5 linked regions of the Coturnix japonica genome follow. The protein of the gene in region 2 interacts with the protein of the main gene of each other region in a biochemical or structural test. Links are inferred from orthologs where the notes say so. Each region holds a gene or a part of one and is shown on either strand. Other genes may lie near its edges.

Region 1 (4,253 bases), on a different chromosome or scaffold from region 2:
CCATTAGACAATGCCACCAGAATTTGAGAACACGAGGACAGTATCAGGCTTCTGATCCTCTTTGGTACCTGCTCTGCTGCTTTGAATAATGCACAGAGATCTGCACTAAGTTCTGAAGTACTTCTGAATTCTGCTTTAAAATCCATCAGTCACTGTAATTCATTTTAGAAAAGGTTCCACAAAAGCAGCTGTCATGTACAAGTGCAGCTCCTCCAGTGCACGACACACACATCAGAAGAGTTAAAACCTGGTACTAAAATTTCATGTAGGAATCACAACTCCACAGCTCTGAGATCACCACACAAGGTTTGTGTTTAACATTAGCAGATGTGTGGGCAAATTGACAGGACTTCTTTTTTCCATAGTAACTACTGGATCTATAAAATCAATTGGACTATAAAATAATGGAGGTGATACAATAAAAAGACAAAACTCAACTTACGCCTACATTTGTATCCTTGTTTGTTCAGTCCCCTGAAAAACAAATGATAGAGAAGGAAATCATATAAGCACGTGCTTGCTAGAATACAACTTTGGGGTTTTTTCCTCTTTTCACCATGTCATCCAATTTCCTCATTCATTGGAATATTTGTCCCCATTAACAAACCAATTGAAGTTCTGGTATTCAGAACCCTCTGCCTTAGGAAGGCAAGGCTTAGAAAGAAAGGCAGTGAGTTCTGAAAGACCGTCACATTAGCAGGAGAATGCAGGAAAAAACCAAAGCTTCCATCACACGGAAATTCCTCCTGATTTGGTTTACTAATAGAATGACTTTCCCACCAATCTGATCCAGCTTCTCGATCCTGATGGGTCTTTATTCTGCTATTGGCTAATTCGCATCTCAAAGACTGAGACAGTATATGCTTTCCAGCTTGCATTACTGATGAATTTATGTCTATGCTTTATTTCAATATACATGAGGGCAATTTAATAGTTATTTACCCTCTTGGGGGTGAAAGAAGTTTAGCACTTTCTCCTTACCACACAAAGTCTTTGCAGACAGAACAAAACGTGGGCTGTCCAAAAAAGGTAGCAATAAATTCATGATTTTTGATGTAGTGGATTTTTGCTTGCTTGATTGCTCCTCTCCTGTTGATAGTTACTGTTCCCTCTTCTTCCCTCATGGACTGTCTGCAATCTAAGGGGAGAAGGAGGCAGACAAGAAGACATACTTTTAACTCTAAGTCATTACCCAAGTCTAATATTTGTTTCTCCAAAATATTGTTTCCTCTTCTGTTTCCAGCTTGTATTTCAAATTTACACCCCCGTCATCCTTGCAGGCATTCAGTCCAACAAGGGCAAAGCACATAAATAAATTGGTTCCTAATTAGTAGGACACATCTCTTCTGGACAGAAAGGAGCCGATCAGAGACAGTTGTCACCCAGCAGGGAAAGACAGAAGCTTCAACCAACCACAGGCACAAGTGCATTGCTAACCACATCGGTTCTGGTCCGCAGATTGAGGGTCTCATTGTGGAATAACACAGCCATGGCTTACAGGGAGGAAGTGCTGCAAAGTTTAGGCTAATGAGGCTGCCTTGTGCCAGGTGGGATGTTCCACAACCATGCAACAATACAAAAGCCATAAAGTACTTTTCCCATTGCCAACACAGCACTGCAAGGAAGGATATTTTCCAACAGCAGCATGGAGGTAGTGAAAGAGGAAGACACTCTCCAAGCCAGCACTCCCCGAGGTGACACGCTTGTGCTGTGCTGGTAAAACCAGAGCCACGGAGCTGAATCAGCAACTAGAATCCAGGTGACCTCTGCTGCAGCAGCAGCCTGATCCCATCATAATCATTCTGAACCCAGCACACACCATTAACTATCATCTACTTCCTCTGTTGAGAGCAATGGTTAATATTTATCGGTGGCACACTGCTTTTCTATTCCAAGGATCCTCCTCAAAACTTGCAGTTGATGTGACAAAAAGCCCCATGCTCCCCTGTGCCATGTGCTCCTTAAGCACAACTGAGAGCAAATGTCACACTCCTGCAGAGGTGCAGCAGCCATAGCAGTGTGCACTGCACCCAACTGCAGCACCAGGCCTGACTGCAGCCAGCAACACAGCGGGCAAACCACAGCCTGAGGAGCATCTGCTGAGCTCCTACACAGCACCGCTGGGACTCTGCTGAAGCGTAATGAACCTCAAGGCGAGATGTCAGGTTGTCTCAGTTCAACCTCCTAAGTTACAAAAGAAAACAGCCTTCAGAAAAACCCTACTTGGGTTTAGAAGAGAAGGAATAGAAAAACATTTATCATCCTCAGAGTTCATTTTTCTGTTCGTTCCATGATTTTGTTTGTAATCTGAAGGGAGAAGGTCTTTGTGCAGTTCTGCTGCCTTGCACTTGGCCCTGTTTGAAAGTTAAGTGTGCCCTTCAGGCCAAGAAAAACATTAATCTCACGGGGTAATCATTACAAAAAGAAATCTCGCTTCTTGCAGAGGAGACCTTCCTGGTACAAACTGTCTCTATTCAGGTCTCAGAGGGGTCTGCTTTACACCTCTGTACAAAAACATCCACAGAAGTACACGCTTCCAGGAAGTCCGTGCTTCTGTGACACAAACTTGCTATGCTGAACTACTCTGGGGTTTGCGATCGTTGTGATTAACTTACAGGCTGAATATTAACATCGCCAGGTATTTCTCTTTCCTTTCAAACCATCTTTTGCATTTTCCAAACCTGCACAAGCAGGTTTTTTCTTTGGCTGAGAGACATTTAAGCTCTCTGGACAAACAGATTTCCGTACGCCTTGCTGAACAGATGGAGCCTCATCATCGGTACCCCACGAAACTGCCTTGGATGGGAAAGAAATGATGAAGTCCAAGACAAAAGTTTCCTAACATGATGGTCCACAACAGTTTGAATGTCAAACAGAATATCGCTGGTGCATAAACAGATTCCAACCTGCATATGGTTCTTCAGATCCACCAACACATCTATTGTTTTAAATATTTCTTTAAAGAATAAACACTTCACAAAGGAGAACAAAGTAACAAGACAGCAGGCAGCTTCTGGGTTGTGTTCTTTTTGCCACTGCAGAGCTAAAACACCAACTCTGAGATGCTGCAGTGCCACCTCCTGCATATCACCATCTATCTTTAGCAGCCCTTCCAGAAGCTGCCAAGCAGATTGCACATATGGTACGAAAGACCTTCAGAATCAACTTGTTCCATGAGAGTAGAACTAAGAAACCTGTATCTACTTGGAAAAAAAACAAAACAAAACAGCCATACACAAAAACAAACAAAAACACCCAACCCCAAACCAAAATCCCCATCAAACCCACAGCAATGCTTTCAAACTTCCTGCTTACTCCCTTTCCACTGATTATTTATTAACACAGCATTACACCAACTAAGACGGATTGGCTAAAATGACAGATCAGTGATTCCCAATAAACAAAGGTTTTGTGACTTCTAGTACTAGACAGTTAAGCAAGATGTGAGGTTTACATCATTTCCTTCAGGAAAGTTACACAAACCCCTGCTAGAATATTTGTTTCTGTTGGCGTACCTAAAGCTTCCCCCTCTCATAACCAGCTCTCTCCTCTCCTCTCCTCTCCTCTCCTCTCCTCTCCTCTCCCCCACTGTGTGCAGATTTCTAACCCATACCGCCTGTTAACTTCTTCAACTGATACAGCAGAACATTAATACGATTTGCATTTGGCATTTAACCATTCACTCATTGCTGCAATTGATTTCCATGACTAACGAGCATTACAGCTGAAATCCCAGGAAAATGTGACCTACTTCCCCAATCCACAAAGAACATGTTTACCACACAAATTAGAGCAAGACATTTTTAACTTCTTCATGCTTAAAACAGGAACTCAGTACTTTCCTATTCAGTCAAAACATGAGGACAGTCAGATTAAAGGCCCCAGGGTGCCTAAATGCAGCAGTACTACAGAGTATGAAGGCATTTACAAGCTCACAAATGTGGCACCCGTGACTCCACCAAAGCGAAGAACACCCTTATAAAACAAATAAAAATCCCCACAAGATGAATTAATAAGATCAGAAAACTACTCAGTATCCCAGGGGTTGGTTTTTTTTTTGTAAGCTACATCCCATGTTTTACAGAACTGGAAATAAAATCCAACCAGCTGACATTACCTGCATCTTCTAAGTAGTACTGCACAGCCATCAGCACCTTCCCCTGAGGTTGCAGGTCAAGCTGTAGAAAGAAAGATACCAAAAGTGAAGTATGTGGTGGATGAACGTCCCATGAGCTCACACCGCTCTCCAGGCA
Region 2 (4,253 bases):
GTGTTCGGTCCTGCAAAACTTGTTTGTTTTTTGTGATAGGGTCATGTTCATAAGTCAGCTTCTGCTCCAGTTCCTCCAGCTTTTTGAGCTGCTGACGGACTTGCTGCAGGCTTTCAGCAATGATGGTGAACCTACAATGACACAGTCCTGTTATTTCCAGCACGTTTTCAGTGTAACGATGCTGAGACAGTAGCAGCGTAACTGTTCCTAAGGTCTGTATTTATATGGGTAGCATTGGAGATGTGTTAGTAAAATCAATGCCCTTTAGTTAAGCTTTGACAGAATGAAAACATACAATCAGCACATGTGGCATATCTGACAGGTCTGGTGATGTGTCACACTTTGAGTGCCTGGCCAACACTGTCCTTGACTGGAGGCTTACCAGTTCTGTAGCTGGTCAAGACAGGCGTTGGGCGGGCCACCAATGCATGCAGTCTGTTGCCTATGTTTCCACTCCACCAGCTCCTCGTTAATAAGAGCACTCTGTGTGTGCTCCGTGTTGTTCAACAGCTGTATAATCTTGGCCACCACTTCCTAAAGGAAAATTAACCTGTTTATTTTTTCTGTATCGAGTAAATACTTGATAATTCATAATTATTGATTTAAGTAATGCTTCGCCTTGCGACACTTCCCAATGACTTCAAATTAATAGCTTCTTTCTATCAATAGAGGAGCTCTTCCAACCCACCTACCTCTTCTTAGCTGGAGCATTAGCTAGGTTAAATGGAGAAAGAACATTTAGCTCCTCAGTAGTGATACTAAATATATCCTATCTACATACTTCTCAAGCGTATACTTGGGACTTCCTAATGCTGGCTGGAAATTTCAGCACTGCAATGAATAAATCTGCTTAACTAAAATATAGATGCCAACTCTTAGATAGCTTTTTTTTCTGCCTTAAAAGCGTGACTATTGATACTATGTTTTCCTCTTGTTGTTTTCTGAGCTGTACCTGGTTGAGTTTGATGCAGCTCAATATTATTGCTCAGCACAATTCTAGGTCTCCAATAAGGATGGAAAGAACAAGATGTAACTTCATATGCGAGCAAAGTTCTTTGTTTTTAAATAGGAATGACGTGTCATTCCAATGAAAGTATTTGAAACTAAGAGCTGCTCCCTTCTGAGAGAAAACTAAGTTGTTACCTTTCTCTTGATGTCAAGTAAGAAAAACATCTTTTGGATATTCATCTGCTCTTTCCTGCACTCCTCTTGTGATGCACCATTGGGCTCAGAATCTGTAAAACAAGTCTAAATTGTGAATCTGAGGTTGGGAAATTGCAGCAGGATACGATCTTGTGAGTACAGGAAAGAAGGGTGAGGAAAACCAAGGCTGATAGCTCCCATGCAGAGTCCCCCCAGCTACAACTTCAGCTGCCCACTGACCTTAAGTTAGAAGCACCCATGTGCCTTAAGGAGAAACGCTGCCTGCCAGGAAGTACAAAGAGCAAGCGTGGGGCTTAATGCTCCCTTTTCCAATCTATCTTGGGGAAATCAGGTTTCAGCATAAAGCAGAATGAATGGAGGAGGGATGTGACCAATAAGTTTGCATATATAATTAAGTTTCCTGACATAAGAATAAACTCTGTTATCTTATGAACTGTGTGCAGTAAGATACGTTCTCAGTACATTACCTCTGCTCTGGAAGGTTTTATGTTTAAAGTCATATTCATCTTGTACATCCTCTAATGTCTTGATGTCTTGTTCTACATCCTATAAAGCATGAATGAAGACAGAACAATTACTCAGTTTCACATTATGCAAGACTCTGTCTGACCAGGATCTGCCTGCCAGCAAGCACGTACAGTGAGTAATGTCTTTCCTTGGAGATCCCTTGCAGGAAGTGTTTCTGAAGTGAGCCAATATCTAGTTACATTGCTTCTCTCATTTTAGCAAACAAAAATCTGTCCATAATAAAACACAGAAAGCTCTCAGTGCTTGGCCATACCAGTTGAGAGAATAAGGAGAACCTAAGCTACCATGGGGGACAGTATATGGCATCTTTAACTCTTAAACTCTTGAGTATTGCACTGAAAAAAAAAATACTTTTGGGATAGTACTTATTATGGCAATAAGCAATGATTTGATGACAGGAGAAAAAAAGCAAATCTCGATCTTCTAGTTCATGATGAAATGTCAATTTATGAGCTTTTAAGGAATTGTTCATTGGTTGCATAATAATCCACATAGGTAAAATGTTTTCACTGCTACAATTTAAGCATGAGAAATATGATATTGCCACAGTAGCCAAATCCCAATCCATACTGCAGTGCTTTTGACAAATATTACTGACTGATAATTGAGTAGATAACCAAAAATGATACTTGTCATTTAAGGAATACATCATACACTGAAAACTTTGACATTTATGATTCTGATAAGCACTACTTCAAATACAGCTGGAATCATACTATACTTACTGTAACACTGTTTTTTACAGCCTTAACTTTTGCATCAAGCTCCTTCTGTTTGTCCAGTATCCCAGTCATGGTGTTCTGTACGCCACCCACTTCCATCTGAGGAAGGCAAGTGGAACAAAATCAGAAGTCAAACAAGACTGAACTAACAGCAAATACTATTTAGTTAATGTCAGTTATTGGCTTTTATTGACAAACAGCCTAGTTGAGTTATTAGAAGTGACTTTGTGAAGAAAAAGCAAGCATGCGGAGATGTTGCATGTAATGTCATAGGAATAAGCAGACAAAATAACTTCTAAACAACTCCTTTTTGGTTTACTTGCTTATCTTCACGTGTTTTCTAAATATATTCCAGGAAAACAGCAGCACTGAAGGCTGGATCGCATCTCCCTTAAATATTAGATTCAACCACTTGGGCTCTGGGGAGGAAAGCGTGAAGCACAAGAACAAGATAAGCTGCCATATAGGGTAATGCATTATGCAGTTGATTTCCTACAGCGTGTTAAAGGAAACCTTCAGATCTCAGTACTGCAAGGTTTCATTTCAGAAGCTCATAGCATGACTTCTCTCAGGGAGAGTTGCAGTGATTTCAAAGACAGGGTTTTTGTTGTACTGTGTCATTATTAGAAACATATTATTTTGCCAATGCAGGCAACTTAGAAAGTGGCAAAGGTTCCCAACGTAACTTGAAATGGGACTGTGATGGCAGTCTGAGTATTGACTAACACTGGAGTCTCTATTTTGTTCTTATGGTGCTTTTAAGTTTGCTTGCTTTGGGAAATAAGAACTTTTACAATAAATCAGAGGGTAGGGTATGGTGTTTTATGTAGCACCAACAATATGTGGAAGAAGATTTATTTCCTTTTTTAAAATTATTATTAATAGAAACATCTGGGATGCTGAAAAGGAAGTTTTGGGTGCTTTGTGTCATAAGCCAATACAGAAACTGCCAGCTGCACTGCAGCTATGAGGAAAGTATCTGGAAATGGCTTTGCCAGAGTTGCATATCTAAGGGAGCTATTTTGGACGCAGCTGCATTAAGATAACTGATGAAAGCCTGTGCTCTAATGCTCTTAGTTCTCTCTATAACACTGTCAAAAATGTGCTGCAAAGTGAAGAATTTCTGTCTCAGAACATAACAGGCTCAGTCAGGTATCATTTAATTTCATTAGCAGGTTGGATCTGGCTCTGTAGTTTACATGGCTTTTCTAACTGTGGAATTTTTTATTGCAACACAGTTCTTGGAAGGGAAAATCCAAACAGATGCACTGCCAAAATAATGATGAGGAGAAGAATACGCTCTGCCTATGGCTCAGCAGTTCAGTTTAAAACATAAACGTAAAATTGAGTGTAGCTGGGAAGGAAGAGTAGTATCACTTTCCAAGGCAGTCCAGAGACCCACTAGTGCTCAGCTGCTCAATAAACAGTAAATCAAGAGTAAAATGGAAAAGGAAGGAAGAATCAAGATCACTTTCTGGCCCTTTCCCATCTGAATAGCTCACGCTACTCAAACCCGCTGGTATCCCAAGTAATAGGAAAGGGCAGACACGACTGCAGTGGACATTTCAAAACTAACTTACCTGATTAGACAACTGTGCACTGTTCAGTATTTTCCTCTCCTCTTTCAGGCAGTTGTGGATGATCATTGCCATGTGTATTGGGTCTTCTTGGAAGTTATCCTGGTGTTAGACATGGGCTATTGTTAAACTTAATACGTGTAATCTCTTGTATTTCATTAAATCAACTGACAAGAATAACATGTGTCGGGTTAAGCCCGAGTTGTATCTTGCTTTGAGACTACATGGACTGTAGCCAGCTCTAGGAAGCAGTTTCTCTGCT
Region 3 (4,253 bases), on a different chromosome or scaffold from region 2:
TGTTTTTACAACAGCTATCCCAGGCAGCAGCTAGTATTGATAACAGGGTCCCCACCCCTGCCTCAGTTGCTAGTGCTGATACGAATTCCCAGCAACTAGGACCAGATGCACCAATGCTAGAAAGCAAATCAGAAGTTAAAACTGAAGAAACTGAGCCAGAGACTAGTGAGACACAAGTGGAAGCTAAGACTGAGGTAAATGAGATTCTATACAGCTTAACTGAAAGCAGTGATAGATATAAAAGCACTTAATGATATGTCTGAATTGATGAGCTAAGGGGTGAGAAGAGGGTAGTTACTGGCAAGTAACTGTCCTGAGGAAAGCCATGGATGGAGAGTGCTTTGACAATCTCATAAGCTAATATTTAAAGGACTGAAGCCTGGGTCAGAGGTGTAACAGTGCATCTTATTGCCTCCTTTCTTAAGGTGGAGGAGGATTTACAAGGATCTTCACAAACAAAAGAGGAAACAGAAGGAACTGAGCTGAAACAAGAGCCAATGGAAATAGAAGAAAAGAAGCCTGAAATAAAAGTAGATGCTAAGGAGGAAGAGGAAAGTGGCACAAATGGAACCACTTCACAATCCACATCACCATCTCAGCCCCGCAAAAAAAGTATGTGTCTGAAAACTGATTTCTTGCATACTTTGTTAAAGAGCTCTTCTGTTTTCTACGGTCTGTGTTGTGCTGGGAGGGGCTCGTTTGTTTTTGAAAGTAGAATTCCTTTAATGTTACTTGAATCAGAGGTGGGAGCAGCGTGTTGTGTTCTTGATGCCAGCAGTATCCTCGCAGTTTCCAGTTTCTGCCCAGAAGGACTCAGGTGGTAAGGAAGTGGCTGCTGCTCAGGTGATGTGCATGAATCCCTCCCCGTACATCTTGGCCAACGCTCTTTCACAGGAGCTCTTTTCTTTGAAAGAAAGCTACATAGGATTACATTAGAATAACATCACAGATGCATGGATGTGCCCAAGAAATCATAAAGTTTTAGTTTGTAGAGATTGAATCTTGATCTCTTGTATATACCTTGCATTGCATTTAATTATTAGACATAGTCTTCTTAGAATAAAGCAGTGGATGTGAATTTCAGTTTGTAACACAATGTGCCAACCAAACCAGAGTGCGCTGCAGAGCCTGTTTCAAACTAACAGTTACAAACAGGTTGAATTCCCAGTGTTAAGAATCATTGCTTCTCCTTAAGTGTTCTTGCAGGTCAGTAGCTGGGAGAAGATGGTTCTTACAGAGGCAGAGCTGCACTGTGTCATTCTGGTGATTCAGTCTGGGTTACTTGTGTTTCCAACACCTCCTTTAGTAACACTGTTCTTGTCATAGAAATGCTGTCACTAAGTAGCCATACAGTGTAATATATGTGTGGCTCAGGCAGGTATAACTACATACGCAATTTTAAACTGAGCCATTTCCTCACCAAGTAGTTTATCCAGCTTTAACGGAGCATTTGCATTTAAACACAAAATAAACCAAGAAGTATTCAAGAGCAAATACAGTGAAGTGTGCTTAAGGGTTTTATGGTATCTTAAAACTGCTTACGAGACTCATCTCATGTTTTTTCATTCATTACATTGGTTTCATTTTCCATTGGTATTTGAGACTCCTGATGGCATGGGAGTTGTATTGAACACCATAGATTGAAGGGAAGGCTTTTGTTTGCTTGCCTCTTCCCTTGCAGTCTTCTCAATAGAAGTAATATTCCCATCACCTCTTCTCGTTGTAGCTGCCTGCCTTATAGTGTGATGGCCTGCAGGATGAGTTTTATTGGTCTCTTCCTTTGTTATAGGTCGTAATAATGAAAGGTCTGGGTTGAGGGAAGGTTCCTCAGTGTATTCCTTATTTTCAAGACATCTTCATCTTCCTTTCAGGATTTTCTCCTTAGTAACCATAAGCAAAATTTCCTGTTTGAAGAAGTGAAACTTCTTTTAGGAGTTAAAAAAGGGGGTGCCTTACTGTTCTTTGTCAGGGAGCACATTGTGATGCAGGCAGAGATCCCTCTTTGTTCTTACCACCTACACAGCTAAGACGAAATAGGGATAGTTGGATGTGCTCCTTACAGAGATGTGCTGCAGGAGGAGAACCAGGAGCATATAAGTGAGGAAGAGTGACAGTGACTTCCCTATTTACCTGCAGACAGAGGGATGCTGTGATCGAATGCTCTGTTTTTAATCACCTTCCTTAGGAGTTAAAGATGAAGGCAACTTTTCTTCATATTTTTAAGTGAAGTCATAACTCTGAATAACTGGATTTTAAATACACATATGTTGTAAACCAATATGAAAGTAGATGATAAATGTTTTCAGGAATGATGCTTAGTCTGTGAGTTACTTAACAGAAGTTCTGCTGAAGCTCTGTTGTTCCGATTTAAATTGGGATCAGATCTGTTTAGAAAGGTTCTTTAGCTGTTGTTATGTGGGTCAGTGCAGGGAGACTTCTTAGAGCAGTGTCAAGGTGTCCAGAATGGGTCATTAAAAGGTACGTTCTGACATTCAAATAAATGAAGTCATTTGAATTATCAGGTTTATAAAGTACGTGGATAAAACAGTTGCAGAAATAATACATAGTATTTACGCTGTGTTTCCCACTGTTCTTGAATTCTGTAATACAACTTTATTTATACAGTTTTGAGAGTATATATAAGGATTCTTTGCATGGGAAAGTGTAGTGGAAGCAAATTACTGTGTTGTCAGCAGTGAGGTGGTGGATCAGCTGAAGTCATGGCTGTGTTGCTTGGTGCCATAAGAACAGAGTTAGTGGGGGCTCAATGCAGGCCCACAGCAGGGCCTTGCTGCAGCCTTGTGTCAGCTTGCGTAGCCCTTTGCCATGATTTAGCTGGCTGAGCTGTGTTAGTTTGCCACTTGTGCACGAGCAGCAATCCTCTCCCAGGTACAGGCAATGCATTCAAACTATATTCCAGCTTCCATTTGCTCTGCAGGGACTGTTTTCATCCTGACTTACAACTTGCAGGAGCTTCAGCATCCACAGATGCCTGAAAACATAGGGAGCGTAAAGCTTCAGAATGTCTTGAGTTGAGTCAGCTTAACTTCTAATGCCTTTTTCCCATGTTTTGAGAGGAAAAAAAATCCTCTCAAAAATAAACCACTAATAAAAAAGGAGGGGAAAAAGTTTAAAAAATAAAAATTACAAAAATATATATTTTTTTTGTTTTCTTACCAGAATTTTCCCTCCCCCTCAAGCCAGTCTGTATCTTAATAAAGCACAGTCTGAACAACAAAAGCAATGATCAGCCTCAGAGGGGTCACTGTAGCCCTATTGATTTAAGTGCTTTCAAGAGAACTCCTAATTGCTCCCTTTTATTGGTATTGTTCTCATTTCAGCCAGGTAGATAAATATTAAATGCCATCCTGCTCTTCTTAGTTGTCGTCTTTTTTTCCTGAATAATAGGCATTCTTCCCTATTTAAAGCCCCTGTTCCTAAGGAAATAAATGTAATTACACTGCTGAGATGTTCAAAGAGCTCTCCAAGTTATCATTATTTTTCAGAAAATGCATTGCCTTTCTTGTCCTTGTCATCCACTATTGAAAGAAACATGGCTGTTGCCATGCCACTGTTGCCAAGTGGTTGTAATGATGCATGTAAATCTTGGAAGTATTAACACTTTGAAAATCAATTAACAGTCCATTGGACCGGGACTCTTTGCATGGCACGGCCAGGAGATCCCTGTGCCAGCTCTCAGGACATCTGGTTACCTTCTGGAGAGCTGGCTCTGCGGGATTCCTTTGCTGGATGAATCTTGACACAGGAGCAGCCAACAGTGTCAAAAGAGAAGGAGAAAATATGCTGTTGGTCTCCTCTCTGGATGGTGGAGCTTCACTGTGTTGAAGCATTGGGTGGTTAATTTGCTTCTGGATAAGTCTTGCATCCTCTGGAAGATGTGTCATTAAATTGTTCTCATCCCCCTGTACTTAGAATCTAATCTAGTGTGATTCAGTTAAATGCAAAAGCTGCTCAGTCATCTCTTGGTGATACGTGTTGCTTTTAATCAGCAACGTAGATGAGAAAATCACGTGAAAGATATTTTTGTTACAGTAATTCTGTATTTTTCTAGGGGAGTTAAGCAGGTAGGATACCCAGCAGGAATTCTTCTAACCTTTCCATCTTCCATTAACAGTTTTCAAACCCGAGGAGCTGCGCCAGGCTCTCATGCCAACACTGGAGGCCCTGTACCGGCAGGACCCGGAGTCTCTGCCTTTCAGGCAGCCCGTGGATCCCCAGCTCTTAGGGATTCC
Region 4 (3,465 bases), on a different chromosome or scaffold from region 2:
GAGCCAGCCTCATGAAGGCCACCATTGCCTGGGAAGGTACACCTGACTCTTCAGCCAGCTCTGGCCCTGTCCCAAGTGCACCCACACAGAAGCACACAAAGATGCTGTAGAGCCCCAGTAGGGCACAGCCCAGCATCCTCAAGGCTTGAGTTCCCTCTGCTGGCCCTGAGCATCTATTCCACTAACAAAGCTTGTGCAGTCTGCTCTGAGGTGTGGTTTTTTTTGCAACCTGAAGGTCGCTCTGAGACATGCAGCAGCTTCTACCGCATGCACAGCACTTTTGCATGCCCAGAGCTGTGACAGCTGGGAAAGCACAAAATAATAAAAAAAAAAAAACAGTTGGACAGTGCAAGGTTGCAAAGGAAATCCAGCAATGCAAGACAGCTGCCACACACAGCACAACTGCATCCCATCGCCCCTACCAGAAAACACACAGAGCGCAGGTGAAGCTTTTGCTAAGCAGGATGTCCCTCCTGCTAACACACACATGAGGTGGCAGCTGTTCCTCTCTTGTACACCAATGCTTTTCTCAGCTAATGCCAGCAGGGGCCCAGGGCTCTGCCATGCTTCACTGAAGTTTTTGCACAGCCTTTTCCATTGCAGGGTGATGTGTTTTTGCCTCCTAGAGTCCTTTGAGATGCAAAAGAAGGGTGAATCAACTCCAGCTCCTAAGCAGGAAGGTTATAAAGCATCCAATCCCAATCCCACACTGCTTCCAAAAGAGAGATGGAGATACAACCCCTCTCTCCCCTCCAGACAGTCAAGGACCCTGAGGTACCAATACCAGCTTTTATTTTGAAACTGACTAAAAGCTTTTGGAGTTTCAAGAAAAAAACTGCAACAGAACACCCAAGGGGAAGCCTGGCTGCCTCAGACCTTGGCTTCAGAGGCCCTGGTTGGTTTGGCTCCCCAAGGAAAAGCTTTCAGATGTGGCCCCATTGGGCTCTCATCAGGCAGATAGATGAGCAGCTGTCCTCTCCCAGGGAGGGGACATGAGGTTACTTGATGCGGTAGAGAACTTTGCGTTGCATGCGGTGCTGGATCTCCCCACGGCGCATCATCAGCTGCAGCACCTTGTAGATGGCGTGTTCAGGGTATTTCTGGAGAGGGAGATAGCAGGGTGAGATGAGCTGGCGAGGAAAAGCTCAACACAGCCCAGCAAGAACTGCAGCCACTGCTAAAGGCTGTGACTCTCTGCAGGACAGCAGGAGCTGCTGCCTTCCTATTTCAACATTTCAGGACTGAGTGCAGCCAGTTTCCTGAGTCAAAACGTTCTGGATTCAATGCTGGACTTCAGTCTATTACCAGGTATTACAAGATACATGAACAGCCCCAAACCTGGACCCCAGCACTCTGACAGAGAAGAAAAACCTCACTCTCCTCCAACTCCACAAACACAACATATGCTGCTCCCTATGAACAGCTTCAAAAGCAAATATGACCAAGGGGCTCTGCAGCTGCCTCCCAGGGAATGAATTCCCACAGCAGCAGTGGGAGTTGCCTGGTTCCAGGGCACAGCCCTTGCCTACCTGCCGTATGAAGTCCTGCACGATGCTGTGCTCTGACACCTGTGAGCCAATGGCAAAGCGGCGCTTGAGTTGCTTCTCAATACGGGACAGCATCTCTTGGTCCTCCTGCGTCGTGAAGCCTTCTGCCCCTGGGGGGGGGGAGAGAGGTTGCAACCAGATGTCACTCTGAAAGCCAAAAAGCCCATTTCCCACGTCTCCCACCACACACACACACACACATCTCAGAGATCTTGAGGGAAGCTGTAAGCCAATGCAGCATCATCCATCCTCACCTGACAAGCTGCCCGACATGGCTGCATCAAGCGTGGACACCTGGAAGAGCCTCAAGGCCTCCTCAACATCAGCCTCAGTGGCAAAGGGTTGCAGCTTCATCTTGCTGAGGGACTCGGCAATGCGTACAATGGCCTCCAGTTGTCTGTGGGTAATGAAGATGCTCCAATTCCCCACTTCCTACTGTAGCCCCAAGGGGTTTTCTCCTTCCCCCAACACTCCCACTCACAGCATCGCCAGTGTCGCCCCACTCACAGTGGGCTCTCCCAAACAACAGCACCCCAATCCTCCAGGCTATCCCAGGCAACACAATGACATAATCCCAACCCTGAGGGTTTTGGTGGGTACGGGAGGACAGCAACACTCTCCCTCCCCACATAGGACCAGGCCCCATGGCTCTCACCTGACAGTGATTGGGATGCTGGAGCGGCGGTCACTCTCCTGCTCATGCTGCCGACTGCCGCTCCGCATCAGGATGTAGCGGTTCTTCAGCTTCTCTGCTGCTGCTACAGACAGCCGAGGGCCACACTTCCTGTGTGAGGGGACAGGAGAGGTGGCACCCTGGGCAGGATGTCCCCTGTGTGCTCCAAGCTGTTCTCACTTGCATCCCTTCCAGGGGAGAGCCCTTCCAAACCTAACCCCTATCAGCCCAAGAATTCGTTCCTTTCACTCAAAGGTGCTTGAGCTGCCTCACAACCCACTCCATACTCCCAGTGCCAGGTGCAGATGGACCAGACCCAGCCCACACATCTGCCTCACTGCACAGTGCAACCCCAGCAGCACCTTGTGATGTGGGCACAGCCTAAAATCACCCCTCTCACTCACGTCCGGCAGAAAGAGATGAGCTTCTTCAGCTTGTTCAACTCAATTTCACCTTCCACAGCCTGTGTCTGCGTCAGGGCACTCACATGCAGGGACATCACATGCTTGGCCAGCGTCTAGGAGAGCAGGAAGCAGTCAGACCGCATGAAACCTCCCTGTCATCCAACCCTCCCCCAAAACAGGGCAGCAGCTTGGCAGTTCAGTGATGCAGTTCCGTTGATACTGAAGAAGGCATCCCCCAACTCTACTCCCAGTGCTTATGCCTGGCTCTGTTGTGACAAGCAGAACTATGGGACCACAAGAAGCTTGCCTTGCTTCAATGTGTCATGGCAGAAGCCTAAGAATCATAAAATTGCTTGAGCTGGAAGGAACCCTTACAGGCTATACCTAGTCCAGCTCCCCTGCAATGAACAGGGACACCTACAGCTAGAGCACGGTGCTCAAGAGCCCCACCAGCCAGATCTTAAGTGTCTCCAGGGATAGGGTATCCACCACCTTTCTAGGCAGTCTGTTCCAGTGCCTCACCACCCTGACTGTAAAAAAAACCTTCCTCCTTGTACCCAACATAAGTCACCCCTCTTTTAGTTTGAAACCATTTCCACTTGTCCAATCACAACAGATCCTTCTAAAGTCTGTCCCTTTCCTTCTTACAGTCCCCCTTCATAGAATTTAAGGCTGCTATCAGGTCTGCCCACAGCTTCTTCCCCAGGCTCTCAGCCACATGCTATGGCTGTGTAAGCTCCCATGCCTCAAGCCCCAGCTGAGCCCACCACCCTGACCCACCATGTCTCGTTCCTCATTGTGCTCATCCTTGACAATGAAGATCATGTCGAATCGAGACAGG
Region 5 (4,253 bases), on a different chromosome or scaffold from region 2:
AAATGCAACACTAAGACAATAAAACGAGGAATAAGAATATATTTTATTTTAAAAATGAATACAAATAGAAATCGGGAAGTCAAAGAGTAAAATAGGCTTCTTCACACATGTCAAACAGCTCTAACCAGGAGATGCAATGCTAACTCTGGCATTCTCAATGCTAGTCAAGCATCTCAATAACATCCTCATGACCAGTGTGCCAAATACATAAAAGTACCTGCACATAAGGTCTGAAATTGTTGTAACAGTAAAGGATCAAAAGAAAAGACTGCTTGCAGCTCTACTTCCATTACACTGTAGGCAGGAATAACAGTTTGCCTTAAGGAAATACTACTACCCTTTATTTAGCCAACCCGTGGTAATCAGGTGCAAGGGAGGTCAGAGGCACCGATAAGACAGGTTTCTAAAATGACTCATCATTTTCCTAAATTAGTATCAGCTTTACAGATAAGACAGATGATGTTTTGTACTATCTGCCATCTGGAAATACTGCCTGCTGCTTCTGAAGAAAATAAAAAGCTATTTCAATTCCTCTCAGAATTCTTCATTGATTACAAACTTTCCTTGAAAGTATCTAGTGTTGACACTGTGAAAAGGCTGTTAAATAGAACAGATTAAAGACTTAACCTACCATACCAAGCTAATGCATGTTACTATCTTTGATTTAACTTGACGTGGATGAAACTAAGCTTTATTCTAACTTTATTGAAGCCAGTCTCTTAAAGCTTCTAATGAACATAACTAAAAGGACTGCTCAATGCTACGCATCCTTATCAGAAGATTGCTTTCACCATGTCTCATCTCCGCTGCTGTTTCCTTGTTACACCTGTAGAGAATCTACCACTTTGCAATGAGAGCATAGTAGTAAGTACTAGCCAGAAATGAACAGCTAGGGGAGCTTTGCTCCCCTTTCATTCTCCTTGAATATTCTGTACTCAGTATACAATAATCCACCCTCACCTGCTCTGCTAGGGCATAAACTTTTGTAGATTCATATGTTAACTGAAATTTAAAGACAGAACACTGAGAAGAATTAGATCAATCTACTCTTCCCCCAGAAAAATCATTACTGCAACTCAAAAGGATTTGGTTGGACACGCTTCTCCTGTACTGTAATGCTTTCTTCACCCCACTTCATCATTCTTTAAAGACAAGAGCAACCACAACTCAGCTAGCAAAAAGCAAACAAAGAATTCCTTAGTAACCTTCAGTGCAAGGAGAGACAGCTCTGTTGCAACCACCTTTACTGACAAGCTGTCAATCTCACACTTGAATGAATGATGAGCACTCACTAAGTCTTGTACTACCCAAAGAAAAGGCAGTAAAGTCTGCAACTTAATAATGTCAGACTGATTATATATGGGAATTTAGCAAGACAAAAGCCAAGAATAGGCTTCAGAGAAGCAAAGAACCAAAGACAATGCAAGCTAACTGTTACATTTATGACAGCTGTAGGACAATACCTGCTCCTCTCTCTTTTGCTTACGCAGCTGAAGACCCTCTTCCTCTCGCCTTCGACGCATTTCATCAGGATTTAGAGATTTGTTCTTGTAGCTCTTCAGTCGGAAGTTTTCTTTTCCTGAGGTCGTCATCGTTCCTTTAAGTTGCAGTTAAGAAGAGAATCAATCAGAACAATTACACTTCAGCAACGCATAAGTAAGTGTAGCCATAAACCAAATGAGCCGCAGGTCAGGTCCCCACCCACAGTCCTCCGCTTTGCTGCTACTTCTCTTACGTCTCCCCATTAAGCCCCTGAAATGTTGAGAACAGTCGCAGCATTTCATAGAATCGTAGAATGACCTGGGTTGGAAGGGACCTCAAGGACCATGAAGTTCCAACCCCCCTGCCTGGCAGGGCCACCAAAAAATGGAGTTACACATGTATGGAACACAATGGAGTACAGAAAATCTTTTGTTTTCACATCAAATTGCTGATATACCTTAGAATCAAGTAAATAAATTCAAACACCACATGGAAAATGATGAGCTAGAAGGACACATCTAACTGGAAAAAGGTTTTGCAGCCACATCAGTCAACCTGCCCTACAACACAAACAAGCATAGGCACACAAACAATAACTCAGATAAAACCTCACACCTCCCATGACATTATACATCATTCTGCATTTCTATCTGAAACATCTTCTCAAACTCACCAAATTAAATTTGCCTTTGTCAGGACTTGGACAGCTCCTGCAATCATTTCACACCTTCACTTTCAGTCCTTAGAAGTTCTCGCTTTGTAGAAATCCTTGACATTTATCATCTTCAATTCTCACTACTGGATTCCATCTTATTTCTATTTTGTAGTCCCTCTTTATGATGCTCCAGTGTTTTTAAGTACCAGTGAGAATCCATCTTCACTGTCAAGTTTCCCTAGCATATTCTTTTTCCTTGTCATTTTTGTCATCAGTGCCTAGAACTTCAGTGTTACCTTCTATTTACTACAACCCTTCCAAGCTTTAGCTAAAGCTTTTGGCTATGCTTATTTCTTACCTTCATGCCAGCTCCCTTTGCTGACTATTAAGTGCACATAAAATCATTTCTAAATAGCGCATTGCATTTTATGTTGAGTAAAGCTTTCCTACAAATTTCCACCAAGTAACGAGGAATACAAAGTTTCTTCTAGTAAGATCAGAAACATTTAGTTTCTTTCAGTGTTGAGAAATCGCTCAATTCAATCACTGAATTCAGGGTAGTCTCTCACCAGTGGCAAATAAAACCCCCACACATTGCCACATATCTGCTTGCCTAACTTAACCAATCCAAAGACACTACCCAAATGCAGCTTCTGCAATTACCTCTGGATGTATTCAGTCCACGGGAATGGACTGTCAAGGGAGGTGGTGGAGTCACCGAACCTGGGGGTGTTCAAGGAAAGACTGCATGTTGTGTTGAGGGCCATGGTTTAGTGGGAGCTATTGGTAATAGGTGAACGGTTGGACTGGATGATCTCGTAGGTCTTTTCCAACCTTGGTGATTCTATGATCCTATGCCCTAAAGGTAAAACGGTGTCATTCCTTTATTGTTTCTATGACCACACCATCTAACCCCCAGCTCCTGACAGCATCCTTACACCTGCTCACTATTTCTTTTTAAGTCAGAAAATAAAAGAATCGTATGTCAGTCGCTACAAACACCCAAGAATAGTTTTCTATAAATCTTCAGCTTTTCAGGTTTTACTCTATAGACAAAAATCAACGAGTCAAAACAAATTCAAACCTTTCTCATTCGTCTTCAGCGGTTTTTCTGCAGCTTAACTGAATATCTTTCAACAACCACTTCACATTCACTCACTGTAAATTACTTCATAGCAAACAGTAAATCCTGGATCTTCTCCTCAAAATTAATGCTGTCTGCGATGAAAGTCGGTGGTGGTTGTCATGGAAATGTTCTACAGATCTTTTCTGTCCTAGCAATAGAAGCGTATTTTCCACGTTTCTGGACACTCCTGTCTACAGCTTCAAATCATTGGTGACCCGATGAGTTTTCATGATGAACTCTTTGATCTTTTGTGCTGTACCACTCAATCACTATATGACACCTTTTACTTTACTTTTTACTTACAAACCTATTTTTAACAAAACAAAAAAGACCTATTTTTGAGTGTCTTCATTCACTAAGGAAGCGTTACCCATTTTTATTTCTTTTTGCTGATCAGTACAAAGGCCCTACCAAAAGCAGAGGTGACTGAAGAATTGGTTTTCAGGAGAAAGGTACTGCATTTCTGCTTGCTGATCAAGTCAGAGAACTTTAGTTTGTACTGGGAAATGCAGAGTCACTTACTGCAATGACCTACCTCATCCCTTGCAATCATCTACATAGGAACAAAAATGAACTTCCTGCCTTCTTACATCAGATATCAATCATCTGAAGTAGGGACACAAATGAGCCCTCTGTCTTCCTACATCAGATATGCTGTCACTAGCCTTAAGAACTTTGCTAGGAGAAATGCTACGTGACAAACACTTGGCCATTCTAACATGTCACAAGTATCCCAATATAAAAATAAAGGCCTTGCTAATCAAGACCAGCAGAAAGGTATATATAACCCAAAAAGATAACTGAAACTAAGATTATGAAATGTACTGATAGCAAATACGTTTAGACACTTTTTTTCTTTGGAATGAGGTGATGGAAATAGGTTATCTGAGAACCATATAGTCATGTATCAGAACAGTAGGTCAATCACTGAGAGAAGATGCAAGATTTCAAGGTAAGCGATGCTTTAACTACTCTACAAAGCTGCAACTG

What was found.
Region 1: of the proteins of STAT1 (region 2) and PRKCD, one has a biochemical effect on the other in vitro, tested with the Homo sapiens proteins (2 studies listed by BioGRID). The link is inferred for Coturnix japonica from reciprocal best matches to the Homo sapiens genes STAT1 and PRKCD.
Region 3: the proteins of STAT1 (region 2) and CREBBP form a complex in vitro, tested with the Homo sapiens proteins (5 studies listed by BioGRID, with this or other methods). The link is inferred for Coturnix japonica from reciprocal best matches to the Homo sapiens genes STAT1 and CREBBP.
Region 4: the proteins of STAT1 (region 2) and MCM5 form a complex in vitro, tested with the Homo sapiens proteins (2 studies listed by BioGRID). The link is inferred for Coturnix japonica from reciprocal best matches to the Homo sapiens genes STAT1 and MCM5.
Region 5: the proteins of STAT1 (region 2) and KPNA1 form a complex in vitro, tested with the Homo sapiens proteins (2 studies listed by BioGRID). The link is inferred for Coturnix japonica from reciprocal best matches to the Homo sapiens genes STAT1 and KPNA1.

The regions. Positions count from the first base shown.
Region 1 is NC_029527.1:573,798-578,050, reverse strand, and holds part of PRKCD (protein kinase C delta type), read right to left. Parts: intron 4,179-4,253; coding exon 4,118-4,178; intron 1,139-4,117; coding exon 982-1,138; intron 475-981; coding exon 443-474; intron 1-442.
Region 2 is NC_029522.1:2,028,954-2,033,206, reverse strand, and holds part of STAT1 (signal transducer and activator of transcription 1-alpha/beta), read right to left. Parts: intron 4,094-4,253; coding exon 3,995-4,093; intron 3,989-3,994; exon of another isoform or gene 2,770-3,988; intron 2,514-2,769; coding exon 2,418-2,513; intron 1,804-2,417; exon of another isoform or gene 1,719-1,803; intron 1,711-1,718; coding exon 1,632-1,710; intron 1,236-1,631; coding exon 1,144-1,235; intron 535-1,143; coding exon 383-534; intron 213-382; exon of another isoform or gene 132-212; coding exon 1-131. UniProt on the Homo sapiens protein: Signal transducer and transcription activator that mediates cellular responses to interferons (IFNs), cytokine KITLG/SCF and other cytokines and other growth factors.
Region 3 is NC_029529.1:11,029,128-11,033,380, reverse strand, and holds part of CREBBP (CREB-binding protein), read left to right. Parts: intron 1-14; coding exon 15-194; intron 195-425; coding exon 426-612; intron 613-4,135; coding exon 4,136-4,253. UniProt on the Homo sapiens protein: Acetylates histones, giving a specific tag for transcriptional activation. Mediates acetylation of histone H3 at 'Lys-18' and 'Lys-27' (H3K18ac and H3K27ac, respectively).
Region 4 is NC_029516.1:47,598,642-47,602,106, forward strand, and holds the end of MCM5 (DNA replication licensing factor MCM5), read right to left. Parts: coding exon 3,405-3,465; intron 2,738-3,404; coding exon 2,625-2,737; intron 2,332-2,624; coding exon 2,203-2,331; intron 1,945-2,202; coding exon 1,802-1,944; intron 1,658-1,801; coding exon 1,530-1,657; intron 1,101-1,529; coding exon 999-1,100; 3' UTR 776-998; downstream 1-775. UniProt on the Homo sapiens protein: Acts as a component of the MCM2-7 complex (MCM complex) which is the replicative helicase essential for 'once per cell cycle' DNA replication initiation and elongation in eukaryotic cells.
Region 5 is NC_029516.1:69,217,838-69,222,090, forward strand, and holds part of KPNA1 (importin subunit alpha-5), read right to left. Parts: intron 1,598-4,253; coding exon 1,464-1,597; intron 1-1,463. UniProt on the Homo sapiens protein: Functions in nuclear protein import as an adapter protein for nuclear receptor KPNB1. Binds specifically and directly to substrates containing either a simple or bipartite NLS motif.